4 linked regions of the Macaca mulatta genome follow. The protein of the gene in region 1 interacts with the protein of each later gene in a pairwise test. Links are inferred from orthologs where the notes say so. Each region holds a gene or a part of one and is shown on either strand. Other genes may lie near its edges.

Region 1 (7,764 bases):
CCCTCACTCACTGTGTCCAGCCAACTGGCCAAGTTCATTCCCTCCTAAGAGTGTTTAAACACTGTCCTCTCTGCCTAGAACTCTTTTCCCCAGAACTTCCTATGAATGGCTCAAAATTACACTAACTGCCTCAAAATGCCATCTCCTTACAAAGGCCTTCCCTGACACTGATTCCCATTTAGCTGCCCCTTCCCAGCCCCATTTAAATTTGAGGGTTTTTTTTTCCCCCATCTATAGAAGCATTTTCTGCTATGTACCCAAGTAAGTTTTATCACAGCAGTCTTAACACAGGGTGATAGCTCTTACCATTATGTGAATCTGTTTTTTTTTTAACTTGTTATCTGTTCTACTTACCCCTCCCCACAGATTATAATCATGAGAGCAGGTGCCTCACCTGTCTTGTTCACCACTATTATCCTAGTACCTGGAACAGTGCCTGAAAATAGTAGGCGCTCAATAAACAGCTGTTGAAGGAGTTAACGGATTATCACCGAAGGTGTTAACATAGAGAAGAAATGCAAAGAAACCAGAGGTGCTTTAGTAACACAAAGGAAATCATGTGGAAGCCTGTTTTCTTTTTTCCTATTTGTCGAAAGCAGCCAAGTATCACCTTCATTTGCATGTACAGGGGTGCTGTTAAAACCTACACTATTACAGTGTTAGAAACTACACTGACAGTCACCAAATTATTGTCACCTGCAGCCCAAACCACACTTGCTAAGTCTATGCTTCCCCAACAAACCACCAAACCACAACAAAAGTTGTAACTCTGCAGATTGGAAGCTGCCTTGGGAACTGACTGCTACCTCCTCTGGCTAGCAGAGTAAACTTGGGTGCATCCTTACCTCCATTTAGGCTGAATGACACCAGCTAGCCCAACTAATTACCTAACATGGGTAAAGCTAAAGCTCTTGGCTTTATATGCTATCCCACTGAAAACTTACAGCCACCCTGCAAGGCAGTTATTATAGTTCATAGAAGAAGTTTAGAAGGGCTAAAATACTTGTCCAAAATAATTCACCCAAGTGCATATAACTAAGAATTGAAGCTCTACCAAGCTGGAACCCAGGTGAAGTGTTGAGCTGGGAGGAATGCAGGTAGCATTTCCATCAGATTACAACAATTTTTAATTGCCATATATGCAAATTACATTCTGACTAGAATACCAGCCCCTTTTTTGTGACCCCTTGCTAAAATAGCAACCATCCTTTAAATCACAGATCAAACAACTTCAGAAAGCGTTCCCCGATCATGCTAGTCAAACTTGATTAATCCTTTGGAAGCTACAAAGCCTTGTACCTTCTTCCACAGTATTTAGCACACTCTGCCTTGCATGTCTTACATGCAAATGTCATGTCAACACTACTCTATGATCCTCCAAGATACGCTTATCTCCCATGTCACCTCATTCATGTGCAGCACATAGTACTCAAAATATGTTTTTTGAATGAACGAGTAAATGAATAAAATGGAACCCGAAATACTACATATGAGGTAAATCACCTTCTAAGTTTAGGAATTATTACCATTTGACTATTTTCTAATGGATGATGAACTTATAATCGGTATAGAAACACAGAATCGAGTGTGATAGCCTTTGCTGGTTACCTAATCTACCCAGTTATTTCAGGAGACCCAGAAATTCCTTCTACAGCCTGCATTTTGCAATTATTTAAAATATTTATTGGCCAGGCACAGTGGCTCATGCCTATAATCCCAGCACTTTGGCAGGCCGAGGCGAATGGATCACCTGAGGTCAGGAGTTAGAGACCAGACTGGCCAACATGGCGAAACCCCATCTCTCCTAAAATACAAAAATTAGCCGGGCATGGTGGCAGTCACCTGTAATACCAGCTACTCAGGAGGCTGAGGCAGGAGAATCGCTTGAACCTGGGAGGCAGAGGTCATGCCATTGCACTCCAGCCTCAGCGACAGAGTGAGACTCCATCTCGAAAAAAATAAAAAATAAAAAATATTTATTTAGCACTTAGCCCTACCAATCGACGGGCCCCGCATCCACAGATTCAACCAACCACAGATGAATATATTTCGGGAAAAATAAAACCCACAAATTTTAAAACTATAGTATGACAACTATTTCCATAGCATCTACATTGTATTAGATATTACAAGTGATCTAGAGATGATTTAAAGTATGTCGGAGTATGCGCATAGGTTACATGGAAACACTAGGCCATTTGATACAAGGTACTTGAGCATCACAGGTTTTAGTATCCACGGGGTATCTGGGAAGGACTACCTTAGTTTGCTCAAGGAATGTCTGACTTGAGATTTGAAGAAATCATACCTGGCAAAAGCCATGGTGGGGGGTCACTCTAGGCCGAAGGAATATCAAAGGAAAAGGCTCAAGAAATAACTTGGCATATTTGAGGAAGAGAAAGGAGGCCAATGAGGAGGGTATCTGGCAAGGAAACAAGTGGTAGGAGAAACAGGAGAGGTAGCAAGAGCCAAAACACGTAGCATCTTGCAGGCCAGGATAAGACAACTGGATTTTAAACTAAGAGCAATGGAAAACCAAGGAGAGTTTAAAGCAGGAGCATGGCATGATTTTTTTTTTTTTTTTTAAAGATTATTTGCGTTGCTGGATGCAGAGCTGGGAGGCCAGTCAAGAGGAAACTGCAGTCACTCAACTGAAAGGTGATGGTGACTTGGACAGGGGTTGTGGCCATGGAAATGAAGAGAAGTGGACAAATTTGAAATACAGTCTGAGGCTGAACTGACTGGACTTGCTGACGGGACTGGATGTGTGCACATAAGAAAAAGGTGGACTTTGTTTTATAACAAGTATTGGGACTGGAAAAACGGAGGAAAGCATAGATTTGAAGGGGAAGACCATGAGCTCTGCACTGTCCACGACAAATGTAAGAAGCCTATCCAATATCCACGAGGGGAAGTCAGGTGGGATCCCACTGTGGAACTCTGGGCGAGACTCAGCTGAAGTTATCATTCGGGAGTCAGCACACTGCATCACTCTACGTCCTGGTCCGTCCGTCCGTTTTCCTGGGACACAAATAACTGCCTTCTCCGCGTTCAACCCTGAACATCTGCGCTGTATCCTCTGGACAACGGGGAGCGGGAAAGAAGCTACGCAGGAGCTTGGGTCGGGCGAGGCTCACGGGAAGCCGCTCTGGGTGCAGAGGACAAAGGCGCAGGGACAGCGGGGAGGGCCGGCCGCGGCCTGCCGTGCTGCCCCCACTGCGCGGAACGCGCGCAGCAACCTCCTCCCGGCCTCCGCGTCTGGACTCCCGCCGCCCCTGCCTCTGGGCCTCCTCCGCCCACCGGCAGAGTCTCCCGCGAAGCCCGCTGGGCCACGCTCTCACCCTCCTCCTCCTCACGCCGGGTCTTGCTCTTGGCCTTGGACTTCTGGCTGCGCGTTTCGCGTCCCCGCGGCTCCCCGCCGGCCGCGCGCTTCCGAGCCATATTGCTTGTCGGGGAAAAATCCACTTCGCGAGTGACGCACCAGGCCGCGATGCGTTAGAACGCAGGCCCCGCCCCGAGGCGGGCGCGTCTGGCCACGCCCCTTCGTTGGAGGCCTAGTCACGCCCCCAAAGGAAGCTCCGCCCCATACCCGTGGCCACTAAAAAACCGCGGGAAGCAGGCAAGAGCACAGCAGGTTTCTATTTCCGGTGTATTGTAGCATCACGTTTCCGGAGCTCGGCGTTGCTCTTGTGTTCTCGCGAGAGGCGGGAAAGGGCGCAGGGTTTGAAACATGGCGGACGACGTAGACCAGGTGAGTGAATTTTAAGGCGGTGGCTCGGCGCCGCTTCTTGTACTAAACTGCTTTTTCCAAACGCAGGAAAAATGGCCAGTCGCGCCTCTTCTTTCCAAGTCACACGGCCTAATCCGCCCCATCCTTTCCGTAAACACCCCTGTCCGAATTTTGCTGCAGGCCCTGAGGTCTTTTCCGTTAGAAGGCCACCTGATGACTATTCATCACACTCTTCGCTTTGTTTTTTTAAATCTGTAAATTATTATGCGTGCCTACCTCACGGAGCTGTCAGGATTCCAATAGAAAGCCAGATAATAAAGTTAGGAGTTGTTATTACTGAGCACAACAATTATTTACTCATTCAGCAGAGAGAGTGAACATCAGCTTTGTATGGTTAGACACTGTTCTAAGAGCCAGGGACACTGACATCGATATATAAGTGATCCTTGCCATGACTTGGAGCTTATATTCGCGAGGAGAACAGATAAATATAAATATGTAAGATTTATAGGAACTGTGATGTGCTATGAAGGAAACAAGGAACTGGTATGCAGAATAACAGATGGTCCTAGAAGCTTTTTCACCTGGTCTTTTTCTTCCTCAAATATCTTTGGAGATCATGCTACAACTTAAACTTTCTACTGAAATCTCACCTCCTCAGAGAGGACTTCTGCCCAAATAGCACTCCCCCTACTCTGCTTACCCTGCCTCATTTTTCTTCATAGAACGTTATTTTTTCATATTAAATGTATGCATCTTTGTTTAATGTGTATCTCTCCTGACTAGAATGTAAGTGCCATAACAGTAGGCATTTTGTTTTGTTCATTCTTTTGTCCTTGGGGTTTAGAACAGTGCTGGAAATACTCAACAAATATTTGAGTGAATGAGTTAGATGATCAGAGGAGGCCTCTTTTAAAAGCCAATGTATAAAGCTACAGGATGAAAAAGAACAGAAAGTGGGCATCCCAGACAGAGGCTTAGGTAGCAGTAGAGCTCTGTCATGTGCATATTCTTACAGTATTATAATTATTCATATGCCTATCCACATTAGAATGAGCTCCTTGAGGGTGGAGATTGTGACTTCTGTATCATTGTAATCTAACAGTTGGTTATCTGATCCTTTAACAAACACCTGTTGAACTGAGGGACATAGGGACCAGTTGAGTTAGGTTATTTTTTTTTCTCTCATCGGGCCTTTTGAATCTTTAGCGCCTGTTACGAATTCAGTTACCTTCCTCCACTGGCCTTGTGTACTTACTAAAGAAGCTCTCCTTGAATCATCTAACTCTTTAATGGCTGCAACCCTCCCTTCCATGTGGGTGACCCCAAGTCATCCTAGCCCTGACCTCTAAAACCAGTGTTTCCAGCAGTTCTTTAATAATATAATATTAGTAGGAATCTTTTCTTTTCTTTTTTTTTTTTTGGATGGAGTCTCACTCTATCGCCCAGGCTGGAGTGCAGTGGCGTGATCTCAGTTCACTGCAACCTCTGCCTCCTGGTTCAAGCGATTCTCCTGTCTCAGCCTCCCAAGTAGCTGGGACTACAGGCACGTGCCAGCACGCCTGGCTAATTTTTGTATTTTTAGTAGAGACGGGGTTCACCATGTTGGCCAGGCTGGTCTCAAACTCCTAACCTCAGGTGATCTGCCTTTCTCAGCCTCCCAAAGTGCTGGAATTCAGGCCTGAGCCACCACGCCCAGCCAAAAGGAACCGTTTCTAAGTATTAATATTTTCTGCTTTCCTGGCACTGTTTTAAATGCATTAACTAGTTTCATCCTCATAAGAATCCAGAAGGAAGGTTGTGGCTTTCTCAATTACAAATGAAGAATCTGAGAATTACAGATGGCATGATTTTTAATCTCAGTTCATAAGTGTCAGGTCACAGCCAGGAGTTGAACCCAGACTGCCTGACTCCAAAGTCAGTGCTTGCTTGCTTGTTGGCACCATCTTGGCTCACTGCAACCTCCACCTCCCAGGCTCAGGCAATCCTCCCACCTCAGCCTCGGAGTAGCTGGGACTACAGGCACATGCCACCATGCCCGGCTAAGCCAGTGCTTTGAACCAGTGTTCTATTCTGGCTACTAAATATTCATCTTACTGGCCAGTTGGCAGCCTAACCTCAACCTGTGCTGAATTCATAATCTTCCCATAAACCTACACCTCTACTTGGCATTCTGACTAGTATATGGTAGGCATTAAGTGAGTGTTTTTCCTATGATTACATAATATTTGAGATAAAGCTAAAGTTCCTAAGACCCTATACCCTGAAATCGGGTCAGGCAGTTTGGATTTTGAGGGAACAAAGTATAGTCATGATTATTTTGCTGTGTAACTCCTTCTTATGTATGCGTGTTTTAATCTACATTTATATAGCACATACTATGTGAAAAGTTCTGTTCTAAGCCTTCATATATGTCACTTAAGCCTCATAAAAACAGTATTAGGTAGACACTATTATCTCCATTTTACAGATTAGGAGACTGAGGCAGAAAAAGGTTAAATAACTTGCACATGGTCATACAGCATAGCAGTGATTTAAGCACTACTTTATCTCTAGTACTATATTACTAAACCTGTTTCTGTTATCAGCAACAAACTACCAACACTGTAGAGGAGCCCCTGGATCTTATCAGGCTCAGCCTAGATGAGCGAATTTATGTGAAGATGAGAAATGACCGAGAGCTTCGAGGCAGATTACATGTGAGTAAATTTATCAAGTTACCTTGAAATCAGATTCCTTCCCACCCCCACTCCCTTGAAATGTAAAACCTGTCCAGAGTGAAAAGGTATTTTGAAGGAAGAGAGGGTAGTGGAAAATCACCCATGTTTCCATAAGCCAGATGAAGCTGCATGTATTCACATTTTTAATATTTTTTCTTTTAATAGAAATATGTTTATTATAGAACATTTTTATTCCCTTCATTTTCCCTTCTGTTTATTTGTAAATAACATTTATTTGTCCTCCATTCTTAAATGTTTTTTAAACTTAAAACACAAATATGTGTTTTATTATGAAAAGTTAAACAGCACAAAAATATATAGAGTAAAAAGTGAAATCCCATTTCCTCTACTGGTAACCACTATTAAAAATTGGATTATCTTGGCCGGGTGCAGTGGCTCATCCCTGTAATCTCAGCACTTTGGGAGGCTGGGGCAGGAGGATCACTTGAGGCCAGGAGTTCTCTGTGTTGCCCGCCTAGGCAACATAGAGAGATCCTGTCTCTACAAAAAATAAAAATTAAAAAATTAAAAATTGGGTTACTGTTTCTGTATGTTTACACACATACATTCATATATGTACATATGCACATACTTGCACTATGTACACCCTACCTCTACAAAACATGGATCCTGCTATACACGTTTTTCAGCACCTTTTTTTTTTTCACTTAATCTTTCTTCGAGATTATTGATCATTAGTGCATTTAATTCTCATTTGTTCTTTTTAATGACTACCTAGGATTCTGTATATGATAGTGATCGATTTTTTTTTCATTTCTTGCTACAAATACTTACATAAATACTTGCAGTAAGCATTTTTTTTTACATATTTATTTGTGCATATCTGCAAAATATCTGTAGAATTGGTCCCTTGAAGTAATCCCATTTGTTCATAGAGTACCCTCAAGGTTTTGCCTCTCCTTAATGACTTGTTGCTTTCCTAAGTGTGTTGTTTTTAGTGTTGCTACTTTACCCTAAAGTGATTAAAAATAGCTAACATTTATTGAGCATTAGTTATAGACCAGCTACTATTATTCTAAGCATTTTGTGTGTGATATCTGATTTAATCTTTATAACAACCCTGTGATGATACATACTAATTATTCCTGCTTTGCACTGTAGGAAGCTCAGGCTCAGAAAGGTACAGTCACTTGCCAGTAAAGAGAGAGCTAGAATTTGAATCTAGATTGTCTGACCTGAGCCCCACTCTTAAGTACTGTGGTTCCACCTTCCACAAAACCTAACGATAAAGAACCTCTGGGCTTGGAAAGGAAATAGGGACCCAGGGAGACAATCTACAGTTGGCCTTAAAGG
Region 2 (7,886 bases), on another chromosome or scaffold:
GAGGCAGGCAGATCACGAGGTCAGGAGATCGAGACCACAGTGAAACCCCGTCTCTACTAAAAATACAAAAAATTAGCCAGGGGCTGTGGTGGGCGCCTGTAGTCCCAGCTACTGGGGAGGCTGAGGCAGGAGAATGGGGAGAACCCGGGAGGTGGAGCTTGCAGTGAGCCGAGATGGCGCCACTGCACTCCAGCCGGGATGACAGAGCGAGACACCGTATCAAAAATAATAATAATAATAATAATAATAATAGTAACTTCACAAACTTGCAAAGAGTAAATGAAGAGATGATACAGGTAAAGTGCCTGGAAGAGAGCCTGGCACAGAACACTCGTTAACTTTAGCTACCATTATGACGATTTTGGAAGTCTTTCTTCCTCTTACTGCTATACTCTTTAGTGCCTAACGAAGAAACAAAACATCAATTGCAATTTTGGTGGATTAATTCCTTTCCAGTCAGTGCCCCAGCTCCTTACCGATGTACCCAGCTCTTCACCCTGCCCTTATTAACCGTTTATGCTTATCTGCTCACTTGACACGTGGGGACGTGGCTTGTGCACCAGGCCAGTATAAAGACCTAGATCGACGTATGCTACACGTTTGTGTAGACCCGAGATGTGAACAGTCCCGGGAGATGGGGACAGCGTGGCCAGATCAGAACATCATAACCGAGTTGGGAGACTTCTGAGCTCCAGATGAGTGGTCTCTATGTCCTGTGCATCCTTCGGCAAGGGACTCCATGTATTCGTCTTTCTCTCTTTTTCTTTCCTTTTTAAATTTATTTTTAAATATTTGAGACAATGTTTCGCTCTTGTTGCCCAGGCTGGAGTGCAGTGGCGTGATCTCGGCTCACTGCAACCTCCGCCTCCTGGGTTCAAGCAATTTTCCTGCCTCAGCCTCCCGAGTAGCTGGGATTACAGGCATGCGCCACCACGCCAGGCTAATTTTGCATTTTTAGTAGCGATGGGGTTTCTCCATGTTGGTCAGGCTGGTCTCGAATTCCCGAGGTCAGGTGATTTGCCCGCCACGGCCTCCAAAGTGCTGGGATTACAGGCGTGAACCACTTCGCCCGGTGTATTACTCTTTCTCTATTGCAATTCCCCTGTCTTGATAAATCGGCTCTGTCTAAGCAGCAGGCACGGTGAACCCATTGGGCAGTTACAACAGGGTTGTAACAGGGTTGCTGCTGTAATGGCCCAGTGGGTTCACCTTGCCTGTTGCCTAGACAGAGCTGATTTATCAAGATGGAAATTGTCATAGAAAAACAGTAATTCACGCAGGGCCGCTGTGCAGGAGACTAGAGTTTTTGTTGTTGTTGTTGTTTTGAGACGGAGTCTCGCTATGTCGCCCAGGCTGGAGTGCAGTGGCACGATCTTGGCTCACTGCAAGCTCCGCCTCTCGGGTTCACCCCATTCTCCCGCTTCAACCTTCCGCGTAGCTGGGACTACAGGCGCCTGCCACCACGCCCGGCTAATTTTGTTTTTGTATTTTTAGTAGAGACGGGGTTTCACTGTATTAGCCAGGCTGGTCTCGATCTCCTGACCTGGTGATCTGCCAGCCTCGGCCTCCCACAGTGCTGGGATTACAAGCATGAGCCACTGCTCCCAGCCTAGAGTTTTATTTTTACTCAAATCAGTTTTCCAGAGCATTCAGGGATCAAAGTTTTCTTTTTTTCTTTTCTTTTCTTTTTTTTTTTTTTTGAGACAGTCTCGCTCTGTTGCCCAGGCTGGAGTGCAGTAGCGCGATCTCGGCTCACTGCAAGCTCCGCCTCCCGGGTTCACACCATTCTCCTGCCTCAGCCTCCCGAGAGTAGCTGGAACTACAGGCGCCTGCCACCACACCCGGCTAATTTTTTGTATTTTTAGTAGAGACGGGGTTTCACCTTGTTAGCCAGAATGGTCTGGATCTCCTGACCTCGTGATCCGCCCGTCTCAGCCTCCCAAAGTGTTGGGATTACAGGCGTGAGCCACCGTGCCCGGCCAGGGATCAAAGTTTTTAAGGATAATTTGGAAGGTTGGGGAAGGCCAGTGAGTGAAGAGTGTTGATTGGTTGGGTGGGGGATGAAATCACAGGGAGTTGAAGCTATCCTCTTGCCCTGAGTCAGTTCCTGGGTTGCGGGGGAGGGGGCACAAGATCACATAGCCAGTTTATGCATCTGGTGGTGCCAGCTGATCCATCAAGTGTAGGGTCTGCAACATATCTTAAGCACCGATCTTAAGTGCAGTTTAGGGAGGGTCAGAATCTTGTGGCCTCCAGCTGTAATTTCTAAATTACAAAATTTCTAATCTTTGGCTGATTTGTTAGTCCTACAAAGGCAGTCCAGCCCCCAGGCAAGAAGGAAGTTTGTTTTGGAAAAAGGCTGTCATCATCTTTGTTTTAAAACTTCAAACTGTAAACTAAGTTCCTCCCAAAGTTAGTTCAGCCTATACGAGGAATGAACAAGGACAGCTTGGAGGTTAGAAACAACATGGATTTGGGTAGGTCAGATTGCTTTCAGTGTCTCAGTTACAATTTTGCAATGGTGATTTCACTGTGACAATCTTGAGGGACTTCCCACAGAACCCTCAGTTCTTGAAGCCCAAAGCCTCAGAAATGGCGAGGAAGAACGAGAGGGGTGTTAAACTCCACACGGTCTTAGCCGACCTCCGACGCTTTTCCTAGAATGTCTCATCTCTATGGTCGACGGCGTTCAGATTCCGGGGCAGACTAAGTTGTTCTTCCGGGGTGAGTGCCTCTTCCAGGGCGAGCGGTGTGGTGCACGCATTGCTGTGTTCTAACTCCCTCAGGGGCTGTGTTGTCGCACTTTCTGCTGCTATGAGCTTCCTCAAAAGTTTCCCGCCGCCTGGGCCGGCGGAGGGGCTCCTGCGGCAACAACCAGACACCGAGGCTGTGCTGAACGGGAAGGGCCTCGGCACTGGTACCCTTTACATCGCTGAGAGGTAGGGTTCCCGGTCCCCAGCGCCGGCCTCCTGCGTGCCACCCTCTTCCTTGCTGGAGCAGGCGGTGCGAAGGAGCCGGGCAAGGGGCGGCCTGGAGGGCTGCTGGGAGCGGGGGCGCGTGTCCGGGACGCCTCAGGGATACCTGTACCGGCTGGAAGGCTCGATTTTTCTAGCACTCTTCCCGAGTCTTCCATTCTCTATTTTCTCGGGCCGGAATTTCCCCTCATGGATTGTGCTTTTGTTTTTTTGTTTTGTTTTTTTAAACTCGCCTTTTACTGGAGGTCTGGCGCGTGCGTTGCCCTTAACGCACGGTCTCGTTTTAAGAGTCTGAAGTGTGCCTGTCTTTCCGGATGAACAGATGCAGGAGATGTTCCCCTCTGCAGGATACGTAGTTTCAGAGCCGAGTGTGGAGGACTTTGAAAGTTTGGTTACACAATATAGATTTTTTCTGTAGGAATAGTAAGGAGAGGAACATCCTTAACTCGACACAGACAGGGGTCATATGCAGAGGTACCAGACTCCCGTTTTGGGGTCCTGGAAGGAGTTGCCCTTTTATTTGGCCACCTGGAGCACTTTGGTATTTTCACAGTCAGATAGATCTACCTTAAATATTGTGGTTGTAGAACCGAGGTCCCTGTTTCCTTGACATTTAGTTCTCTTTATTTTGAAGCCTGTAATGACACATTTAATCTTTCCTGCCCTTCAGATATGTGTTGCTTCCCCTTTTGCTCCATCACTTGTCGACAGCCAGAGAAAATTCTCTAAGAACTCATGTGATTACTTTGGAACCACCTGTAAAATCCGGGATAATCTCCCTATGTTGCTGTCCACTGGTAACCTTAATTAGGTTTGCGAAGTCCCTTTTGCTGTGTAATATAACATATTCACACGCATGACACCAGAAACTGAAGGTCGTGGGGGCCAAAATTTTGCCTACCACAGAATCCAGAGCACAAAAACTGTAAAGAACTGTTGCTTTAAAGGGAAATTTAGACATTGAACAAGGCTTAGGCTTCAGGCCAGTCACTGAGATAGGACATATGGGTGGTAGGAAAAGCAAGATTGAGGTGAGAGGCAGATAATGAGTTTGGTCAGGACATGTGTGGAGTAGTTGTACATACGAGTGTGTGTTGGGCCGGGCGCGGTGGCTCACACCTGTAATCCCAGCACTTTGGGAAGCTGAGGCAGGCGGATCGCCCCAGAAGTTCGAGATTAGCCTGGGTAACATGGCGAAACCCAGTCTCTACAAAAAATACAAAAGTTAGCCAGGCATGGTGGCGGCCTGTAGTCCTAGCTACTCAGGAAACTGAGATGGGAGGATCACCTGAGTCCAGAAGGTTGAGGCACGGTGAGCCGTGATTGTGCCCCTGCACTCCAGCCTAAGTGACAGAGTGAGACCTTGTCTCAAAAAAAAAAAAAAAAAAAAAAAAAAGAGTGTGTGTCTTGGGAAAGTGGTATTAAAGATAGATGTTTGGAAGTCGTTGAAGTATTAGTGTATACTCATGGAAATGGATTAACTATCTCAGAAGAGAAGAGGACCAAGTGTAGAACCCTAGGGACACACCTTTGGGTGGGTCATAGAAGAAGAGACTTGAGAAAGGAGGAAGGAGCAGTCAAAACAAAATATGAAGAGCGTATATTGAGTATTGACAAGGAAATCTTTGATATTTGGGGAAAGCAGTTTCTTTGAAGTGATGGAAGATGGAGCACAGATACATTCCTAGTTCCCAGGCATTCCTTTTTTATTCATGACATTTCTGTATGTTGACACTTCGTTCAATATTATAACTCCTTTTGAGGGACAGTCCTGTATTGGTTTTTGCATTTTGAAAAATTTCAAACCTACGGTCCGGTGCGGTGGCTCACGCCTGTAATTCCAGCACTTTGGGAGGCGGAGGCGGGCAGATCACCTGAGGACAGGAGTTCAAGACCAGCCTGGCCAACATGGTGAAACCTCATCTCTACTAAAATACAAAAATTAGCCGGGTGTGGTGGCAGGCATCTGTAATCTCAGCTACTTGGGAGGCTGAGACAGAAGAATTGCTTGAACCCGAGAGGCGGAGGTTGTAGTGAGCCGAGATCATGCCATTGCACTCCAGCCTGGGTGACAGAGACTGTCTCAAAAAAAAAAAAAGAAAAATTTCAAACCTAAAGAAAAGTTGTAAGTGTTATTACTACCCATACACCCTTCACAAAGATTTATTAGTTAACATTTTGCCATGTTTGTCTGTTTTTCTTTTTTTTCTGAGCCATTTGAGAATTGCAGACATGTTTTCTACTTCCTGTTCAGAAGAACAGGGACATTATCTTGTATAACCACAATACAATTCTCACACCAAGGAAGTATAACTCTTTTTAAGTTCTTACCAGTTTTTTAAAAATTCTTAGCCTGGACAAGGTGGCTCACACCTGTAAATTCCTGCTCTTTGGAAGGCCAAGGTGAGCAGATCGCTTGAGCCCAGGAGTTGTTGACCAGCCTGGGCAACATGACAAAACCCTGTCTCTACAAAGAATACAAAATTGCAAAAATTAGCCGGTCATGGTTGCATGTACCTGTAGTCGCAGCTACTATGGGGGGCTGAGGTGGGAGGATTACTTAAGCCTGGGAAGTTGAGGCTACAGTGAGCTGTGATCATGCCACTACATTCCAGCCTGGGTGACACAGTGAAACCTTGTCTCTTAAAAAAATTAAAAATTATTTGTTTCAGCTTTTCACAAACAAATCTCTTATGTTTCTTCTTTAAGATTATTTTTTATTTATTTATTTTTTTTTGAGACAGAGCCTCGCTCTGTTGCCCAGGCTGGAGTGCAGTGGTGCGATTTCGGCTCACTGCAACCTCCACCTCCTGGGTTCAAGTGATTCTCCTGCCTCAGCCTCCCAAGTAGCTGGGATTACAGACGTGCTCCACCACGCCCAGCCAATTTTTGTATTTTTAGTAGAGACGGGGTTTCACCATGTTGGTCAAGCTGGTCTCGAACTCCTGACCTCATGATCCATCCGCCTCGGCCTCCCAAAGTGCTGGAATTACAGGCATGAGCCGCTGCGGCAGGCCAAGATCATTTTTTGTGTGTGAAACATAAATACAAAAAAAAGAGTATAAATACACACACATACTGTATACATGTATATACAGTCCAGCAGTTCTTCCTCTGAGGCATTGAGGGAGAATGCCCAGAGATAACAAAGCTGGAGAAGAAGACAGTCATGTTCATGAGTTTGGCTTATAGCCTTTAGGCTTTGGTGAAACTATTTAGTTTGAGGCAGAGAGGGACAGCAACAGATTAGGTTTTGGCTAGACTTGGTTTTAGTCTCTCAGATTTGTGTTGAAAGAGTTAGAATCTCCGACTTATTTCAGAGCTTAGTTTTTTATAGGAAGTTGCATTTTCTTTTTTTTTTTTTGAAACAGAATTTCACTCTTGTTGCCCAGGCTGGAGTGCAATGGTAAAATCTCGGCTCAGTGCAACCTCTGCCTCCCTAGTTCAAGAGATTCTCCTGCCTCAGCCTCCTGAGTAGCTGGGATTATAGGCATGTGCCACCACGCCCAGCTAATTTTGTATTTTTAGTAGAGATGGGGTTTCTGCATGTTGGTCAGACTGGTCTCAAACTCCCGACCTCAGGTGATCCGTCCACCTCGGTCTCCCAAGATTACAGGCATTAGCCACTGCATCTGGCCAGGAAGTTGAATTTTTATCCAAATAAGGAAGATACAGAGGCATGAATAATATAAAATCATTTAAAACAGGTAAAATAGGTTATCACATTAAAATTAGGTAATTTAAACATAAATTTTTTTTGTATCTCATTCCAAAATTAATTTTAAACCAAATAATTAAGTTAACCTAAATTCAAGACCTCTCGTAGCTTCCTGTCCTGTTTTTCATCCCATGCTGGGAATAAAGGACACTGACCATACTTGTGCAAAAGCATTTGAATTCAGCAAAACATTTTCTCTACGTGTTTACTTGGTTTCTAATTCTTCTTGTCTTTCCCTTTTGACTCACAGTTTCTTTGAAACTGGGTATGGTTAATTAGATATTTTAGAAGGATTTCTTCTAGAATATATACAAAGAGTAAATGAAAATCAGAATTTAATGATCAGACAAAACAGTTATATTTTTAGATGATACAGTGAAATCTTTTATGTTTCTCTACAGCACTTTAAAAGTTATAACTTGAATACTTTGAGTAGATTTATTACAATCTCATCCCAGCAAACTTTAATGGCAGCCTATTTCATCGTGGCCTCTGCTAAAATTAGAAAATCTGGTGGTGGTACAACGAATAATTTACGTGCAATAGGATTTAATTTGTTGTTAATAGCTATTTGTTAAAATTAAAATTGCCAGATAAATGAATGTACTGTCAAATCTCTTTTTTTTTTTTTTTTTTTTTTTGAGATGGAGTCTCCCCACTGTCGCCCAGGCTGGAGTGTGGTAGTGTAATCTTGGTTCACTGCAACCTCTGCCTCCTGAATTCAACCAATTCTCCTGCCTGAGCCTCCCGAGTAGCTGGAATTACAGGTGCCTGCCACCACACCCAGCTAATTTTCGTATTTTTAATAGAGACAGGGTTTCGCCATGTTGGTAGGCTGGTCTGGAACTCCTGACCTCAGGTGATCCATCCACCTCAGCCTCCCAAAATGCTGGGATTACAGGCGTGAGTCACCACGCTCGGCCTATAATGTCAAATCTTTTTTAACATAGTAACATGCTGTTGGAAAAAATAAGTTGTTGAAAGTAAGTTGTTTTTCCATTTAAAAATATCTGTGAATATTAATATATGATATGCCTTTGTAAATCTGAAAAGGTAAAATACAGAAGCCTAGGGGTTTCTTTTCTTTTTTTATTAAAAAAAAAAATTTAACCATTAGAGTAAGTGTTTTTAAGTGTGGAACTTGGCTTCTGTCCTGTAGAGTGCATAATCCCAGTTCATGTAAAAGATTATGA
Region 3 (7,786 bases), on another chromosome or scaffold:
CTGAGGCAGGAGAATGGCGTCAACCCAGGAGGCGGAGCTTGCAGTGAGCCGAGATCATGCCACTGCACTCCAGCCTGGGCGACAGAGCCAGACTCCGTCTCAAAAAAAAAAAAAAAAAAAAAAAAAAATAAGTGGGGCATGGTGGCTTACACCTGTAATCCCAGAACTCTGGGAGGCCAAGTAGGGAGGATCGCTTGAGCCCAGGAGTTCGAGATCAGCCTGGGCAACATGGTGAAGCCCCAGCTCTACAAAAGAAAGAAAAAAAAGCAGGGGAAAAGAAAAAGTTAGCTGGGTGTGGTAGTGAGTGACTGTAGTCTCAGCTACTTGGGAGGCTGGGGCAGCAGGATCACTTGAGCCCAGGAGGTCAAGGCTGAAGTGAGCTATGATTGTGCCACCGCACTCCAGCCTGGGTGACAGAGCAAGACCCTATCTCAAAAAAAAGATAAATAAATAAAACAAAAGAGGAGTCCGGGTGAGGTGGCTCACGTCAGTAATCCCAGCACTTTGGGAAGCCGAGGCAGGCGAATCACGAGGTCGGGAGTTCAAGACCAGACTGACCAACATGGTGAAACGCTGTCCCTACTAAAAATACAAAAAATTAGCCGGGCGTGGTGGCTCAAGCCTGTAATCCTAGCTGCTCGGGAGGCTGAGGTAGGAGAATAGCTTGAACCTGGGACTTGGAGGTTGCAGCAAGCTGAGATCGCACCACTGCACACCAGCCTGGGTGACAGTATGATACTCCGTCTCCAAAAAAAAAGAAAAAGAAAAAAAAAAAAAAGAAAGAAAAAGAGAAAAGAAAAAATAGAAGATCTAGGTACATATCCATGCAGTAAATGTGTTGCTCCTTTTAACTGGCTGCATAGTATTTCTTAGCAAGGAAGTGCCACCACTGATTAAGCCAGGACTCTACAGAGGGACATGTGAATGGGATCCAGTCCTTTTGCCATGATATGCATTATAATGCAATAAATGTGTGTGCACATGCTTCCTCCTGTATGTGTGCGAGTGCACCTTGGATAAATCTCTACAAGCACCTGGCTCACCGGACCTGTAGGTTTGATTTTGAGAGATATTAGAAAGGTTGTTTTCTGAAACGTGCCAGGAGGGTGCTGGTTACAACCTTGGCCACTCAACGTCTTCACGGACTATCTGGGGCGCCCCCCTGAGGAGCTGTCTGGAACTGCAGACTGCAGCTACACGCAGCTACACGCAGCTACACGCAGCTACACGCAGCTACACGCAGCTACACGCAGCTACACGCAGCAAGGATTTCGGGTAGCCGGGTAACTCTAACATAGCCCTACACGTGATTCCTTCCAGAACCTGAGCCAGGACGTTCAGTTTTTCAAATTCACCCTGGAGGCTCCAGAGACCTAGAGTTTCCATTTATTATTCACTTACATGGCGAAACCCCATCTTTTTTTTTTTTTCCCCTTTTGAGAGGGAGTCTCTCTCTGTTGTTCAGCCTGGAGTGCAATGGCAGGATTTCGGCTCACTGCAACCTCTGCCTACCCACCACCACACCCGGTTGATTTTTTGTATTTAGTAGAGACGGGGGGGGTCTCACCATGTTGGTCAGGCTGGTCTCGAACTCCTGACCTCAGGTGATCCACCCGTCTTGGCCTACCAAAGTGCTGGGATTACAAGCATGAGCCACCGCGCCTGGCCTCTCTATCTTTTTAAAGTAATGATAATTTAGATGACATTTAGACGAATTTTTTTTTTTTTTGAGAGGGAGTCTCACTCTGTTGCCCAGGCTGGGGTGTGGTGGCGCGATCTCTGCTCACTGTAACCTCTGCCTCCCGGGTTCAAGCAGTTATCTGCTTTAGCCTCCTGAGTAGCTGGGATTACAGGCGCCCGCCACCACGCCCTGCTATTTTTCGTATTTTTAGTAGACATGGGGTTTCACCATGTTGGCCAGGCTGGTCTTGAACTCCTGGCCTCGTGATCCACCTGCCTCGGCCCCCAAAGCGCTGGGATTACAGGTGTGAGCCACCGCACCCAGCCTAGATGAATTCTTTAAAATAAACTTACATACATTTATTTAAAAGTTAATGTTACATGATGAACGGTGTACATGACAAATCAGTATCCCCAGTCATGAAAAATGGCAATGGAATGGTTTCTATCTCTTGGGCGCTAGTATTCACACTTAGGTTTATTTTATTTTATTTATTTATTTATTCATTTTGAGTCTGAGTCTCGCTCTGTCGCCTAGGCTGGAATGCAGTGGCGCGATCTCGGCTCACTGCACGCTCTGCCTCCCGGGTTCACGCCATTCTCCTGCCTCAGACTCCCGTGTAGTTGAGACTACAGGCGCCCGCCAACACGCCCGGCTAGTTTTTTTTTTATTTTTAGTAGAGACAGGGTTTCATAGTCTTAGCCAGGATGGTCTCGATTTCCTGACCTCATGACCCGCCCACCTCGGTCTCCCAAAATGCTGGGATTACAGGCATGAGCCACCGCGCCCGGCCCCGCATTTAGTCTTAATGATAATCTGGTAGATAGGTGCTATTATATTACTACCTTTTACAGAGAGGAAACTGAACCACAGAGAACTAAGTAAGCGCCTACTGGCGCTGAACTGGCAAGAGGCAGATTCGGGGTTTGAACCCCCCCTAAAGACGGGTGCCACACGCCTTTTGATAGGAAGTAAATCAAAAATAAAGACAAGGAAGGCCGAGCGTGGTGGCTCACGCCTGTAATCCCAACACTTTGGGAGGTAGAGGTGGGCGGATCACGAGATCAGGAGTTCGAAACCAGCCTGGCCAACATGGTGAAACCCCATCGGTACTAAAAATACAAAAAATTAGCTGGGCATGGTGGCGGGCACCTGTAATCCCAGCTACTCGGGAGGCTGAGGCAGAAGAATTGTTTGAACCTGGGAGGCAGAGGTTGCAGTGAGCCAAGATCAAGCTACTACACTCCAGCCCAGGTGACAGTGCAAGACTCCGTCTCAATTAAAAACACACACACACACACACACGGAAAACCCGGGGCCTGGACCCAACGCCTCACACCTATAATCCCAGAACTTTGGGAGGTCGATGGAGGATCTCTTAAACCCAGGTGTTCAAGACCAGCCTGGGCAACATCGCGAGACCCCGTCTCTACAGAAAACAAAAAACAAAAAAAAAAAAACCCTAAAAATTGGCCGGTTGTGGTGGCGCGTGTCTGTGGTCCCAGCTACTCAGGAGGCTGAGGTGGGAGGATCGCTTGAGGGCAGGAGCTCGAGGCTGCAGTGAGCCGCGATGGCGTTACTGCACTCCAGCCTGGGCGTGCAGATCCGAGCGAGACCTTGTCTCTAACGGAAAAGAGAGAGAGAGAGAGAGAGAGAGAGAGAGAAAGGAAAACAAGGAAGGAAGGAAGGAAGGAAAGAAGGAAAGAAAGAAGGAAGGAAGGAAGGAAGGAAGGAAGGCAGGCAGGCAGGCAGACAGGCAGACCCAGCGAGGTAGACAATTTTCCCTAGATCCTGTGGCCGCCAGACCACGAGGCAGGCGCTGTGCGTCGTTAAAAGAATAGCAGGTGGTGGCGCGCAGCCCCGCCAGGAGACGCCCGGCGAGGAAACCAGGAGATGGAAGAGACAGTGAGAAGGGGGACCAGGCTGTGCGTCCCCGCCCGATGCCCCACTCCTCGCCGACGGGCGCCGGGCACCTGCGGGAAGGGCGGGAGAATCGCCGCTCCTTCCCCGCCGCGCCCTCTCCGCCCTCTCCCCGCCTCCTTTTCGGGCGTCCCGAGGCCTCTCCCCAACCGACAACCGAGACCCCGCAGGCCACGCAGCCCTGGCGCCGAGGCCCCCCGACGGCGGAGGCGCCCGCGGGTCTCCTACAGCCAAGGTAAGGCAGGAATCTTCCGGACCCGGCCGCGGACCCCCGGGCTTCCCGGAAGCGCAGTGTGCGGGTGGCATCACCGTACCCGGAGCCCCTGCGCGCCCCGGACATCCCCACCCCGAGGGACCCCCTACGGAGGCGACCCGGTGGCCGAGGTGAGCGCTCCGGCAGCAGCGACGGGGAGGGGTGTCCACCCCATCCCCGGTGCGGGCCGGGACGCGCGGGTCTGGAACTCGGGGTTCAGACTCCCCGCGACTCGGACCACGCGGCTGAGCGCGCCCAGGGCCGCGTGCCCCCGCCCCGCGGCCATGCTGGCAGCAGTGGTGGCCGCGCAGCTCGGCGACCGCAGGCGTGGGCGGGGGCTGGGGAGCGGCCCTCCGCGGTCCCTACCGCCCGAGGCCAGGGCCCGGGGACTTTTATTGTGACAAGGCGGGCGCCCGGCTCTGCTTAGTCATGGTGACCTGCGCGCGCTCCGCGCCTCCCCCACGCGCAGCGATGGAGGCGCCGAGGCTCGGCAGTGGAGGCGGAGCCGGAGCGCGGCCATGGCGGGGTGAGTGAGGCGGGATGTACCCGGGCTGCGGGCATCGCGGGCCGCGAGCGCCCCTGCGGTCGTGCCCGGAGACCAGGAAACCGGGCGCCACGGCTCAGGGAGCCTCCGAGTTCCCCGCCAGGACTCGGAGGGCCAGGAGGGCGAGGCCTGGGTCCAATCTTTTTGTTGGACGGCGCAACTCTCGGGGTGGCCCGGGAGCGGCGGAAACCGAGCGAGAGAACCCGGAGGCGTGGAGCAGACGGAGGCCTGGGGCCTCCGAGGCGTTGGGGGGCTCAATCTGCGTTCTGGGATTGGCAGCCGAGACGCCGCGGCGGGGTCACTTCCTCGCCTCTCTGGGCCTGGTGGCGGCTCAGGAGGGGCATGCGCAGTCGCCCACTTGTCGCTTTGTAGGGTGGGGGAAGTGCCCGGTGCCCAAGGGGCATCGTTGACCGATTGGCCAAAGACCAAGACGCAAGCCCAGGGCCTTGGCACCGGAGGGGGGGCCGAGTGGCACCCAGGGAGGGTGGAGAAGGCCGCTCTGGCAGGCACGGTGGCACGGGCATTTAGCCAACCACCCGTGTACTGACCCCTGCGCAGTGCCAGGCCCCAGGCGGGAGGCACAGGAGAGGGTTGGCCCGACGCCAACCTACATAGGGTTCCCTGCCATTTGAGGCGCTGGGGCCGGGGACGAGAGACAGTCGATCAACAGACAAGCAAAGGAGGTCATTTCAGTTCCTGACAAGCTCAGTGATGACAATAGAACAGGGAAGAGGGGACTCTGAGTGGAGCCCCAGAAAGAGGGGAGTGAGAACTTGCAGATCCACTTGTGGGGAACCACTTGGAGATCCCCCACTCCTTTCAAAACATAACTCATGTCTGCGCACAGCAGCCTATGCCTGTAATCCCAGCATTTTGGGAGGTCGAGGAGGGGGATCACTTGAGACCAGGAGGTCGAGACCACCCTGGCCAATATGGTGAAACCCCATCTCTACTAAAAATACAAAAAATTAGCCCATGGTGGTGGCTGGTGCCTGTAATCCCAGCTGCTCAGGAGGCCAAGGTATGAGAATATCCTTTTTTTTTTTTTTTGAGACCAAGTCTTGTTCTGTTGCCCAAGCTGGAGTGCAGTGGCGCGATCTCTGCTCACTGCAAGCTCCGCCTCCCGGGTTCACACCATTCTCCTGCCTCAGCCTCCCATGTAGCTGGGACTACAGGCGCCCGCCGCCATGCCCGGCTAATTTTTTGTATTTTTTAGTAGAGACGAGGTTTCACCGTGTTAGCCAGAATGGTCTCCATCTCCTGACCTCGTGATCCGCCCACCTCGGCCTCCCAAAGTGCTGGGATTACAGGCGTGAGCCACCGCGCGGGACTGAGAATATTTTGAACCTGGAAGGCAGAGGTTGCAGTGAGCCAAGATCGCACCACTGTACTCCAGCCTGGGCAACAGAGCGAGACTCTGTCTCGAAAAACAAAACACAAAACACATAACTCATCTCCTGGCCCTCCAGGCTCCAGGGGTTTCCATGAAACCCTTCCTTAAGTCCTTAGCTCTCACTGCACTCCTTCTCAATTCTCCAGATTGACTGTCTCAGCCTCTGAGCCACTGCACTTGCTATTTCCTCTGCCTGGAAAACTACTCCACAGCCTCCCACTTTATGATAATTTTCATCCTTGTCTCAGCTCTAACCTCACCTTCTCAAAGAAGCTTGGCCTGTCAGATTTTTAAAAACTGCACCCAGGGCCAGGCACGGTGGCTTACGCCTGTAATGCCAGCACTTTGGGAGGCCAAGGCAGGCGGATCACTTGAGGTCAGGAGTTTGAGACCAGCCTGGCCAACATGGTGAAACCCAGTCTCTACTAAAAATACAAAAACTAGCTGGGCGTGGTGGTGGGCGCCTGTAGTCCTAGCTACTCGGGAGGCTGAGGCAGGAGGATCGCTTGAACCCGGGAGGCAGAGGTTGCAGTGAGCCAAGATCGAGCCACTGCATTCCAGCCTGGGTGACAGAGTGAGACTCCATCTCAAAAAAAAAAAAAAAAAAAAACTGCACCTGATTCTCACATTGTCACAATGCTGTTGTAATTTTCTTCATGAAGCTGATTTTCCAGGTCTTGCTTATTTTAGTTTATGATTGTTCCTCCCCGCAGGTGTCAGCTCCAGCAGGTAGGATTTTTGTGTGTTTTGCTCACTGCTGTGTCTTCAGCACCCAGATCAGTGCCTGGCATACAGTAGGTGCCCAACAAATGGTGAGGCGAATGAAGGAATGAGCCCGACATGCTCTAGAAAGGGAAAGGCCACCAGATTACTGAAACAGAGTGATCAAAGGGAAGAGGTGGCAGGGGCTAATTGCGTAGGGCTTTGCAGGCTGTTGAGGAGTTCAGTTTTACTAGGTACTGTGGGAGGCGTTGGAGGATCCAGAGCAGGGGAGAGACATGACCTCATCTATGTTTTAAGATGGGCTCTTGGGCTGGTCAGGTCAGGGAGATGTTTGCAAATTTGCAAATGCACTCTGCTTCACCTACTCTGCAGGAAAACTGACCTAGGAATTGCTTTATCTTACAAAAGGAGACCCTGCAGGTGCTGGCCCAACCCCAACCCGTGCCCCCTGCCCTGTGCTCTCTCCCCTCCAGGCCCCTGAGTGCCAGAGGTGGTGGTGTTGCTTATCTTCTGGAACCCCATGCAGCCAGATCCCAAGCCTAGCAGGGCTGGGGCCTGCAGCCGATTCCTGCCCCTGCGGTCACAGTGCCCTGAGGGGTCAGGGGACGCGGTGATGTATGCCTCCACTGAGTGCAAGGCGGAGGTGACGCCCTCCCAGCATGGCAACCGCACCTTCAGCTATACCCTGGAGGATCATACCAAACAGGCGTTCGGCATCATGAACGAGTTGCGGCTCAGCCAGCAGCTGTGTGACGTCACACTGCAGGTCAAGTACCAGGACGCGCCTGCCGCCCAGTTCATGGCCCACAAGGTGGTGCTAGCCTCATCCAGCCCCGTCTTCAAGGCCATGTTCACCAATGGGCTGCGGGAGCAGGGCATGGAGGTGGTGTCCATTGAGGGTATCCACCCCAAGGTCATGGAACGCCTCATCGAATTCGCCTACACGGCCTCCATCTCCATGGGCGAGAAGTGTGTCCTTCACGTCATGAACGGCGCTGTCATGTACCAGATCGACAGCGTTGTCCGTGCCTGCAGTGACTTCCTAGTGCAGCAGCTGGACCCCAGCAATGCCATCGGCATCGCCAACTTCGCCGAGCAGATTGGCTGTGTGGAGTTGCACCAGCGTGCCCGGGAGTATATCTACATGCATTTCGGGGAGGTGAGCGGGGAGGTGGGGCTGGGGGCAGTGTCAGGAGAAGGACCAGGGATGGATGAGTGCTCATCACTGTTTCCCCTTGAGATGTGAAGGCAGGAACCTGGAGGAAAAGGAGG
Region 4 (7,689 bases), on another chromosome or scaffold:
TGACACACTGTAACACCCTCTATGGGGCTCTGTGGTTCCTGGTGTCTCTGAGCTTTCGGCCACCACTGTGTTCCCCTTGTCCAGATGCTGGTGCCCAGAGCAGAAGCCACTTGCGGTATGTCTGGTCCAGCTGCTGCCTTGCACAGAGCCAAAGCCTGTGCCGGCGCCTGGAGCTGCCCGTGCCGGGGCTTGGAGCTGCCCACCCGCTGCAGCAGCCAGCATATCTGGCTGTGTGTAGTGGTCGGACCCTGTGCTCACTCACACACCCCTCACGGCTCCACACCTGGCACGCCTTTGGCAGGCGTGGTATCCGGGCCCGTAGTGCGAGCTGAGCTCAGCCTCCAGACTGAGCGGGCAGAACGAGCCCAGCAGGCACAAGCAAAAGTCAAGCACAGGCGCTCCTAGCCACAGAGGTTTCCGCATGGCAAAGTGACACCCTAAGGTTCTTGTGACAGCTGGGACTATAGGCGCACCCACTACACCCAGCTAATTTCTTAAAACATTTTTGGCCAGGCTCGGTGGCTCATGCCTGTAACCCCAGCACTTTGGGAGGCTGAGGAGGGCAGATCACCTGAGGTCGGGAGTTCAAGACCAGCCTGATCAACATGGAGAAACCCGGTCTCTACTAAAAATACAAAAATCAGCCAGGTGTGGTGGCACATACCTGTAATCCCAGCTACTTGGGAGGCTGAGGCAGAAGAATCACTTGAACCCGGGAGATGGAGGTTGTGGTGAGCCGAGATCGGGCCATTGCACTCCAGCCTGGGCAACAAAAGTGAAACTCCGTCTCAAAAAAAAAAAAAAATTTAGAGATGGGGTCTCACTATGTTGCCAAGGCTGGTCTCAAACTCCTGAGCTTGAACAGTCCTCTTGCCTTGGTCTCCCAAAGTGTTGGGATTACAGATGTGAGCCACCCTGCCCAGTCAAGAAGCCTAACTAACTGAGCTGCTTCTCTGTGCCAGGTGCTTTCACACATTAATGAAAGTCACTCAAATCTCCCAGTTCTCTGAGAAAAACCTTATTTTTTGTTTTCATAATAAGGAAATTGAGGCTGAGGAAGAAAGTGATTTTTCCAAGGCTATACAGAATGACTTTTAAAAAATGTAAATCAGGGGCCGAGAGCGGTGGCTCAAGCCTGTAATCCCAGCACTTTGGGAGGCTGAGACGGGCGGATCACGAGGTCAGGAGATCGAGACCATCCTGGCTAACACGGTGAAACCCCGTCTCTACTAAAAAATACAAAAAAACTAGCCGGGCGAGGTGGCGGGCACCTGTAGTCCCAGCTACTTGGGAGGCTGAGGCAGGAGAATGGTGTGAACCTGGGAGGTGGAGCTTGCAGTGAGCTGAGATCCGGCCACTGCACTCCAGCCTGGGCGACAGAGCGAGACTCCGTCTCAAAAAAAAAAAAAAAAAAATGTAAATCAGGTAGGGCACAGTGGCTTGTGCCTGTAGTCCCAGCTATTCTTGAGGCTTGGGCAGGAGGATCACTTGAGCCCAGGAAGTTGAGGCTGCAGTGAGCTATGATCACATCACTGCACTCCAGCCTGGGTGACACGGTGAGACCCTGTCTCTACAAGTAAATCAAATCACGTTGCTCCCTTTCAATAGCCTATCATAGCACTTCTAGTACTAGTTGAGAAGACGGAAGCACAGAGAAGATAGCTAACTTGCCCAGTCACAGCCAGGAGCAGATTTGAGCCTAGGCACTGTATCCGGAGGCTGCACTCCTAACCATGAAATCTAAACTCCTTACCTTGGCTCACAAAGTCCTATATGCTCTGGCTCCTGCTTCCTCTCTGGTCTCTTGTTATACCACTCTCCCCAGCTTCCCTGGCCTTTCCTGTGTTCCTAAATTGTCAAGGTCATTTCCCCCAGGTTCTTTGCATGAATTGTGAAAAGAAAAAAATTGACTTTTAATTGGTGATTTGGCTTTTATTTGCTAAATTTGTTAAATTTGGGTTTTATTTGCAACTCTAGAATTGGGCAACATCTCATTCTATAAAACGGAATGAGTGTTCAAATAAGCTGAGCAGAGGAGATTAGTTTTACAGACAGAAAAGGGCTGAGGAAAGCAGAAACAGAAAACAAAAAGCAGATTGGTTGTTTCAAAGTTACTTTCCTTGTAACTTTGAAGGCTAAAGCAGAGGGGACTTCCTTATCCTGCCAGCTAAAACTGGATGGTTTGGAGATTTAAGTATCTCTCACTCTTCTGATTTATCTGAATATCAGATAAGCAACTTAGTTTCCACTTGGTGATGTGGAACTTTAGCATGAGTGACTCCATTTTGGTTTTGTCTGTTGGGCTTGGTGCAGGAGCCCTGTCCAAACCAATGGCTGCCTTTTTTTTTTTTTTTTTCTTTGAGACGGAGTCTTGCTCTGTTGCCCAGGCTAGAATGAAGTGGTACAATCTGAGCTCACTGCAGCCTCCACTTCCTGGGTTCAGGCAATTCTCCTGCCTCAGCCTCCCGAGTAGGTGGGACCAGAGGTGTACACTACCACAGTGGGCTAATTTTTTCTATTTTTTGTAGAGACAGGGTCTCCCTATGTTGCCCAGACCAGTCTCGAACTCCTGGGCTCCAATGATCCTCCCGCTTTCTCCTTCCAAAGCGCTGGGATTACAGGTGTGGGCCTCCGCGCCCAGCCCTGCCTCCTATAAATTTTATTTAACAAACTGTTCCCTCTAATTGCAATGCTCCGCCCATAGTTTTCACAAGCTTGGCGTCATGTCACTAATCCCAACTCAAATGTCACCTTCTCAGGACACCCCTGACAATCCAATAAAAGACCACCTAGTCACTACCACGTCACACTTTCAATCTTCTAAAGAACTTTTTCCCTATTTTTCTTGTTTGTTTTCCTAAGACTCTCTCCCCTGCAGCGCCATCAGCTCGGGGAGCCACTTGATCTTGGTCACTGCTCTATGCCGGAGCCTAGGAAGCAGCCTGGCCCAGGGTGCCCGTTCAAGAACGCGTGCGGAGTGAATGAACGACTAGTGAAGGAGACTTCAATGACGCAGGCCGGCATTTGCTGAGCGCGAGCCCCGCGCCGCGAAGCATTCTGGGAATCGTAGTTTCTCCGTGCCGCGATGACTCGCAGAGCACAGACGCACTCTGCGCCGGGAGGACAGAGCGGCCCGGTCGCCGGCGTGGTTTCTCCGTCCTGCTGCAGCCGGCGGGAGGCAGCCCGTCCAGGCGCCCGCTAGCTTCGGCGGCGACCCAGACGGGGAAAGCGGAAGGAATGTCGCGTGGTGGGTCCGGGTCGGCGGTGCAGGGAGCCGCGGGGCGGAATGTGGGGTATGCCAGGACCTCCGGAAGGAGGTGCCGGAGCCCAGGAAGCGTTTTCTTCCCCATTTACCGAGTATAGCTCATTTCCCCAGACCCGCTCCCGCTGCTCTGAGTAAGGGGTGCTCATCCCGTTTTACCGGTAGCTTAGCTAGCTTGGAGAAGCTAAGTGGTTTGCTAAGTGGTCTCCCTCCTAGAAGGTGGCAGAGCCTGTCCTAGAACCCGGGCCTGACTCGAGGTCTAGTGATTGCTCTTTGCAGTCGCAGCAGCAACCCCATACCTTTGCTTGATCGCAGATTCGTCAGGCTGCAGCCTGGTGGCTGGTCGTTAGGCCCTGCCCAAGGACTTAGCTCCCAGCCCCGCTCATCACTGGCCTAGTCTAGCTTGCCACGCTCAGTGCCACACTGCACAGCCCTGGACGGGATGCTGAGTGAGGTCGTAAAGAGAGAGCGTTGCACCCCCGTTAACTCAGGGTCTGAAAATAAGGGATAGGTAAGACCTAGTGCACTAATACAATATCGGGGTACGTTGAAATCAAAGGAGAGTACCTTCAGTGGAGTGTGATTCTGGTAGCTTTGTTTCGCCTGTAGTTTAATAAATGTGGAAACAGGTTCAGAGACATTAACTTTTCTAGGTTTACATAATTAGGGGTGGAGTGGGGATTCCAGCCTGGGTTTCTCTACCTTCAAAACCTATGTACCTTATATACTACCGGTTGGGTTTCCCCCCCCCCCCAATTCATTATCTAGATTTATTTTCTTTCTTTTTTTTTCTGAGAGTCTCGCTCTGTCACCCAGGCTGGAGTGCAGTGGCACAATCTTGGCTCACTGTAACCTCTGCCTCCTGGGTTCAAGCGATTCTCCTGCTTCAGCCTCCCAAGTAACAGATTACAGGTGCTCCCATGCCCAGGTAATTTTTGTATTTTTAGTGGATACTGGGTTTCATCATGTTGGCCAGGTGGGTCTTGAACTCCTGACCTCAGGTGATCTACTCCCCTTGGCCTCCCAAAATCCTGGGATTACAGGCGTCAGCCCCTGCGCCCAGCCTCATTACCTAAATTTCTACTTACCTAACAGCTGCATGGTATAGACCAATAGTTCCCAGAGTGTGGGCCCCTGACCAGCAGCATCAGCATCACCTGGGAATATGTTCGAAATGACTCTCTCTGGCCTCACCTCAGACCTCCTGAGTCAAACTGGGAGTGGGGCCCAGCAAGCTGAGATAACAGGCCCCTCAGATGATTCTGATACACACTGTATGTATCAGATGATTCTGATAATGTATGAGAACTACTGGTGTCAAGCACCGAGTCTCAAACCTTCACGTGTATCTAATTCACATACGGGGTCATGTTGAAATGCAGAGTCTGTTTCCAGTCAGTGTGGAAGAATGGCAGTGAGCCACTCAGTGAAGGAGTGGATTATCTCAGAACAGGCCTGGGGAGAGACCTGAGATTATGCATTTCTAACCAGTACCCCTCAGCACTTTGGAGTTACCTGGGGAGCTTTTTTTCTTCTTCTTTCTTTTTTTTCTTTTTTTTTTTTTTTTTTTGAGATGGAGTCACTCCGTCGCCCAGGCTGGAGTGCAGTGACGTGATCTCGGCTCACTGCAAGCTCTGCCTCCCATGTCCACGCCATTCTCCTGCCTTAGTCTCCCCAGTAGCTGGGACTACAGGTGCCGCCACCATGCCCGGCTAATTTTTTTGTATTTTTAGTAGAGATAGGGTTTCACCGTGTTAGCCAGGATGGTCTCGATCTGACCTCATGATCCGCCCACCTCGGCCTCCCAAAGTGCTGGGATTACAGGCGTGAGCCACTGCGCCCGGCTGGAAACTTTTACAAAATAGGAAATCTGGGCCCACCCCTCTAACCAAATGAATCAGAATCTGGGGTGGGGAAGGTCGAGTTAAAAACTCGCCAGATGATTCTAATGTACACCTGGTGTGAGGTTTGGAGCCAGGCGGCTATGGATTTTTTTTTTTTTTTTTTTTTTTGAGACAGAGTCTCTCTCATGCAGGCTGGAGTGCGGTGGCATGATCTTGGCTCACTGCAGCCTCCACCTCCCGGATTCAAGCGATTCTCCTGCCTCAGCCTCCGGAGCAGCTGGGATTATAGGTGCACACTACCATGCCCGGCTAATTTTTGTATTTTTAGTAGAGACAGGGTTTTACCATGTTGGCCAGGCTGGTCTTGAATTCCTGGCCTCCGGCGATCCACCCGACTCAGCCTCACAAAATGCTGGGATTACAGGTGGGAGCCACCATGCCTGGCCTACGGCTACGGATTTGAATTCCAGCAATTCCACTTATTTACTGTGACCTTGGTCAAGTTACCTCTCCTAGCCGTATTTTTTGTTTTTAAAAGTTATTGATTTATTTAAATTAATGTATTAGGAATGATACTGACTTTTGTTGTTGGTCCTAATAATTTATCTTGAATTCTCAATGTAGATAATCATATAATTGACAAACAAGGACAGTGATCTTCCTTTATAATTATTGTTTCTCTAAATTCTTTCCCTTCCCTTCTTTCTGTAATCGTTTTTTTGAACGTTGCATTGACCATTACCTACGTTTTACTGTTGATTAGAAGCCATAAAAGGCATCCTTTTCTTGTCCCTGGCTCAATAGAAATGATCATCATTTTCTTTATTTTTTGAGACAGAGTCTTGCTCTTGTTGTCCAGGCTGGAGTGCAATGGCGCGATCTTGGCTCATTGCAATCTGCCTCCCGGCTTCAAGCAATTCTCCTGCCTCAGCCTCCTGAGTAACTGAGATTACAGGCGTGTGCCACCACGCCCAGCTAATTTTTTGTATTTTTAGTAGAAATGGTGTTTCACCGTATTAGCCAGGCTGGTCTCAAACTGAGTGGATCTCGCTATGTTGCCCAAGCAGGTCAGCAGAACTCTTGGGCTCAAGTGAAGCTCCTCCCTCAGTCTCCTGAGTAGCTGGTACTACAGGTGTATCCCAGTGTGCCTGGCCATCCTAGCCATATTTTTCTCATTCATAAAATAAGCATAAGTAATCCTTGGCTTGCAAGTTGGTGTGAGGATTCCATGAGACATGTGCGGGAAGTATCTGTGTCCACAGATACAAAAATTGCAGAGGTGGTCTGTGCTGGGAATTTTGTTTGAGAACCTGGTGGAGGTGAGTTGGCAACTGTACCCCCTACCCTGCTATAGCTGCCATCTGTGTGCTCCTGTCCACAGCAAGCAGGCAGCTGGTGTGGAAGAATGGCACTGAGCCATTCAGTGAAGGAGCGGACCATCTCTGAGAACAGCCTGATCATCCTACTGCAGGGCCTCCAGGGCCGGGTAACCACTGTGGACCTGCGGGATGAGAGCGTGGCCCATGGACGCATAGACAATGTCGATGCTTTCATGAACATCCGCCTGGCCAAAGTCACCTACACGGACCGTTGGGGGCATCAGGTCAAGCTGGATGACCTCTTTGTGACAGGCCGCAATGTCCGCTACGTCCACATCCCAGATGACGTGAACATCACCTCGACCATTGAGCAACAGCTGCAGATTATTCATCGGGTGCGGAACTTTGGTGGCAAGGGCCAAGGCCGGTGGGAATTTCCCTCCAAAAACTATAAGTGAGGCCCTCAGCAAGCCCTGGCCCCAACTCGGCTTCCTCCAGTGTTCTCTGGAGCCAGCTCCCTGCCCTCACACCCTGTCTAGAACCCGAGAAGAGAGCAGGGCCAGGCCAGAAGCTGGTGTCCAACAGACACCACCTGTCAAAGCTGCGTTTCACAGGGTTCCACCTCCCAGACTCCCTCTGGGACCCAGAATCCTATCTGTCTGTGGCCTTGGGGTAGGTGACAATCCCCCTTTTTGATGATCTGAATCTCTGACTTATTGATCATGGAACCTGTCAAGTAGTTTTCAACTCTCCCAGTGAGGATAATTAAACATGCTCAGTCTAAGCCACCTCTAACTGTCTCCATTCCTCTTGCAGTTGTGTTCATTTTCTTGTGAAACCCAACTTGAATACAAACAGGTCCATGCCCCAGGCCTTCCCTTCTGTGTGCTGGGCTCCCAGACCGTCCTGTGTAGTCGGGGGCAGACTCAAGCTTGGCTGCACATTGGAATCACCTGTCCCACCCTCAGAGATTCATATTTCGTTGGTATGGGGTATGATCTGAGGGCTGGGAGTTTTTTAATTTCCCAGGCAATTCTAATATGTAGCAATTTGAGAATGGTAGGAGAGTACTTCAGTCTGGGCAGGTGGAAAATGGCTTTTCTACTCAGTCCCTGTTGAAGAGGCTGTTAGTCTCATTGCTGTTTCTTGAAGCAGAGAGATTGGAGTAACCTGGGCCCTCCCCTGGGGTGTGAGAGCTCTGCTAATAGCAGGAATTCCATCTCTGATCTGAGAATTATTGGGTTCTCAGGGTTAGAACCCAAGT

Evidence for each region.
Region 2: the proteins of LSM3 (region 1) and CLNS1A interact in binary tests that used the Homo sapiens proteins (3 or more experiments, as listed by UniProt). The link is inferred for Macaca mulatta from reciprocal best matches to the Homo sapiens genes LSM3 and CLNS1A.
Region 3: the proteins of LSM3 (region 1) and KEAP1 interact in binary tests that used the Homo sapiens proteins (3 or more experiments, as listed by UniProt). The two-hybrid records come from large-scale screens. The link is inferred for Macaca mulatta from reciprocal best matches to the Homo sapiens genes LSM3 and KEAP1.
Region 4: the proteins of LSM3 (region 1) and LSM10 interact in binary tests that used the Homo sapiens proteins (3 or more experiments, as listed by UniProt). The link is inferred for Macaca mulatta from reciprocal best matches to the Homo sapiens genes LSM3 and LSM10.

Annotation. Positions count from the first base shown.
Region 1 is NC_133407.1:152,978,178-152,985,941, forward strand, and holds the start of LSM3 (U6 snRNA-associated Sm-like protein LSm3), read left to right. Parts: upstream 1-3,677; 5' UTR 3,678-3,730; coding exon 3,731-3,751; intron 3,752-6,318; coding exon 6,319-6,429; intron 6,430-7,764. Other genes in the region: XPC (DNA repair protein complementing XP-C cells), read right to left, coding at 3,342-3,441. UniProt on the Homo sapiens protein: Plays a role in pre-mRNA splicing as component of the U4/U6-U5 tri-snRNP complex that is involved in spliceosome assembly, and as component of the precatalytic spliceosome (spliceosome B complex).
Region 2 is NC_133419.1:78,058,715-78,066,600, reverse strand, and holds the start of CLNS1A (methylosome subunit pICln), read left to right. Parts: upstream 1-2,721; 5' UTR 2,722-2,814; coding exon 2,815-2,939; intron 2,940-7,886. UniProt on the Homo sapiens protein: Involved in both the assembly of spliceosomal snRNPs and the methylation of Sm proteins.
Region 3 is NC_133424.1:11,222,954-11,230,739, reverse strand, and holds the start of KEAP1 (kelch-like ECH-associated protein 1), read left to right. Parts: upstream 1-3,546; 5' UTR 3,547-3,985; intron 3,986-4,329; exon of another isoform or gene 4,330-5,464; intron 5,465-6,342; exon of another isoform or gene 6,343-6,987; 5' UTR 6,988-7,034; coding exon 7,035-7,673; exon of another isoform or gene 7,674-7,786. UniProt on the Homo sapiens protein: Substrate-specific adapter of a BCR (BTB-CUL3-RBX1) E3 ubiquitin ligase complex that regulates the response to oxidative stress by targeting NFE2L2/NRF2 for ubiquitination.
Region 4 is NC_133406.1:204,392,255-204,399,943, forward strand, and holds LSM10 (U7 snRNA-associated Sm-like protein LSm10), read left to right. Parts: upstream 1-3,159; 5' UTR 3,160-3,247; intron 3,248-6,487; 5' UTR 6,488-6,511; coding exon 6,512-6,883; 3' UTR 6,884-7,213; downstream 7,214-7,689. UniProt on the Homo sapiens protein: Appears to function in the U7 snRNP complex that is involved in histone 3'-end processing. Increases U7 snRNA levels but not histone 3'-end pre-mRNA processing activity, when overexpressed. Required for cell cycle progression from G1 to S phases.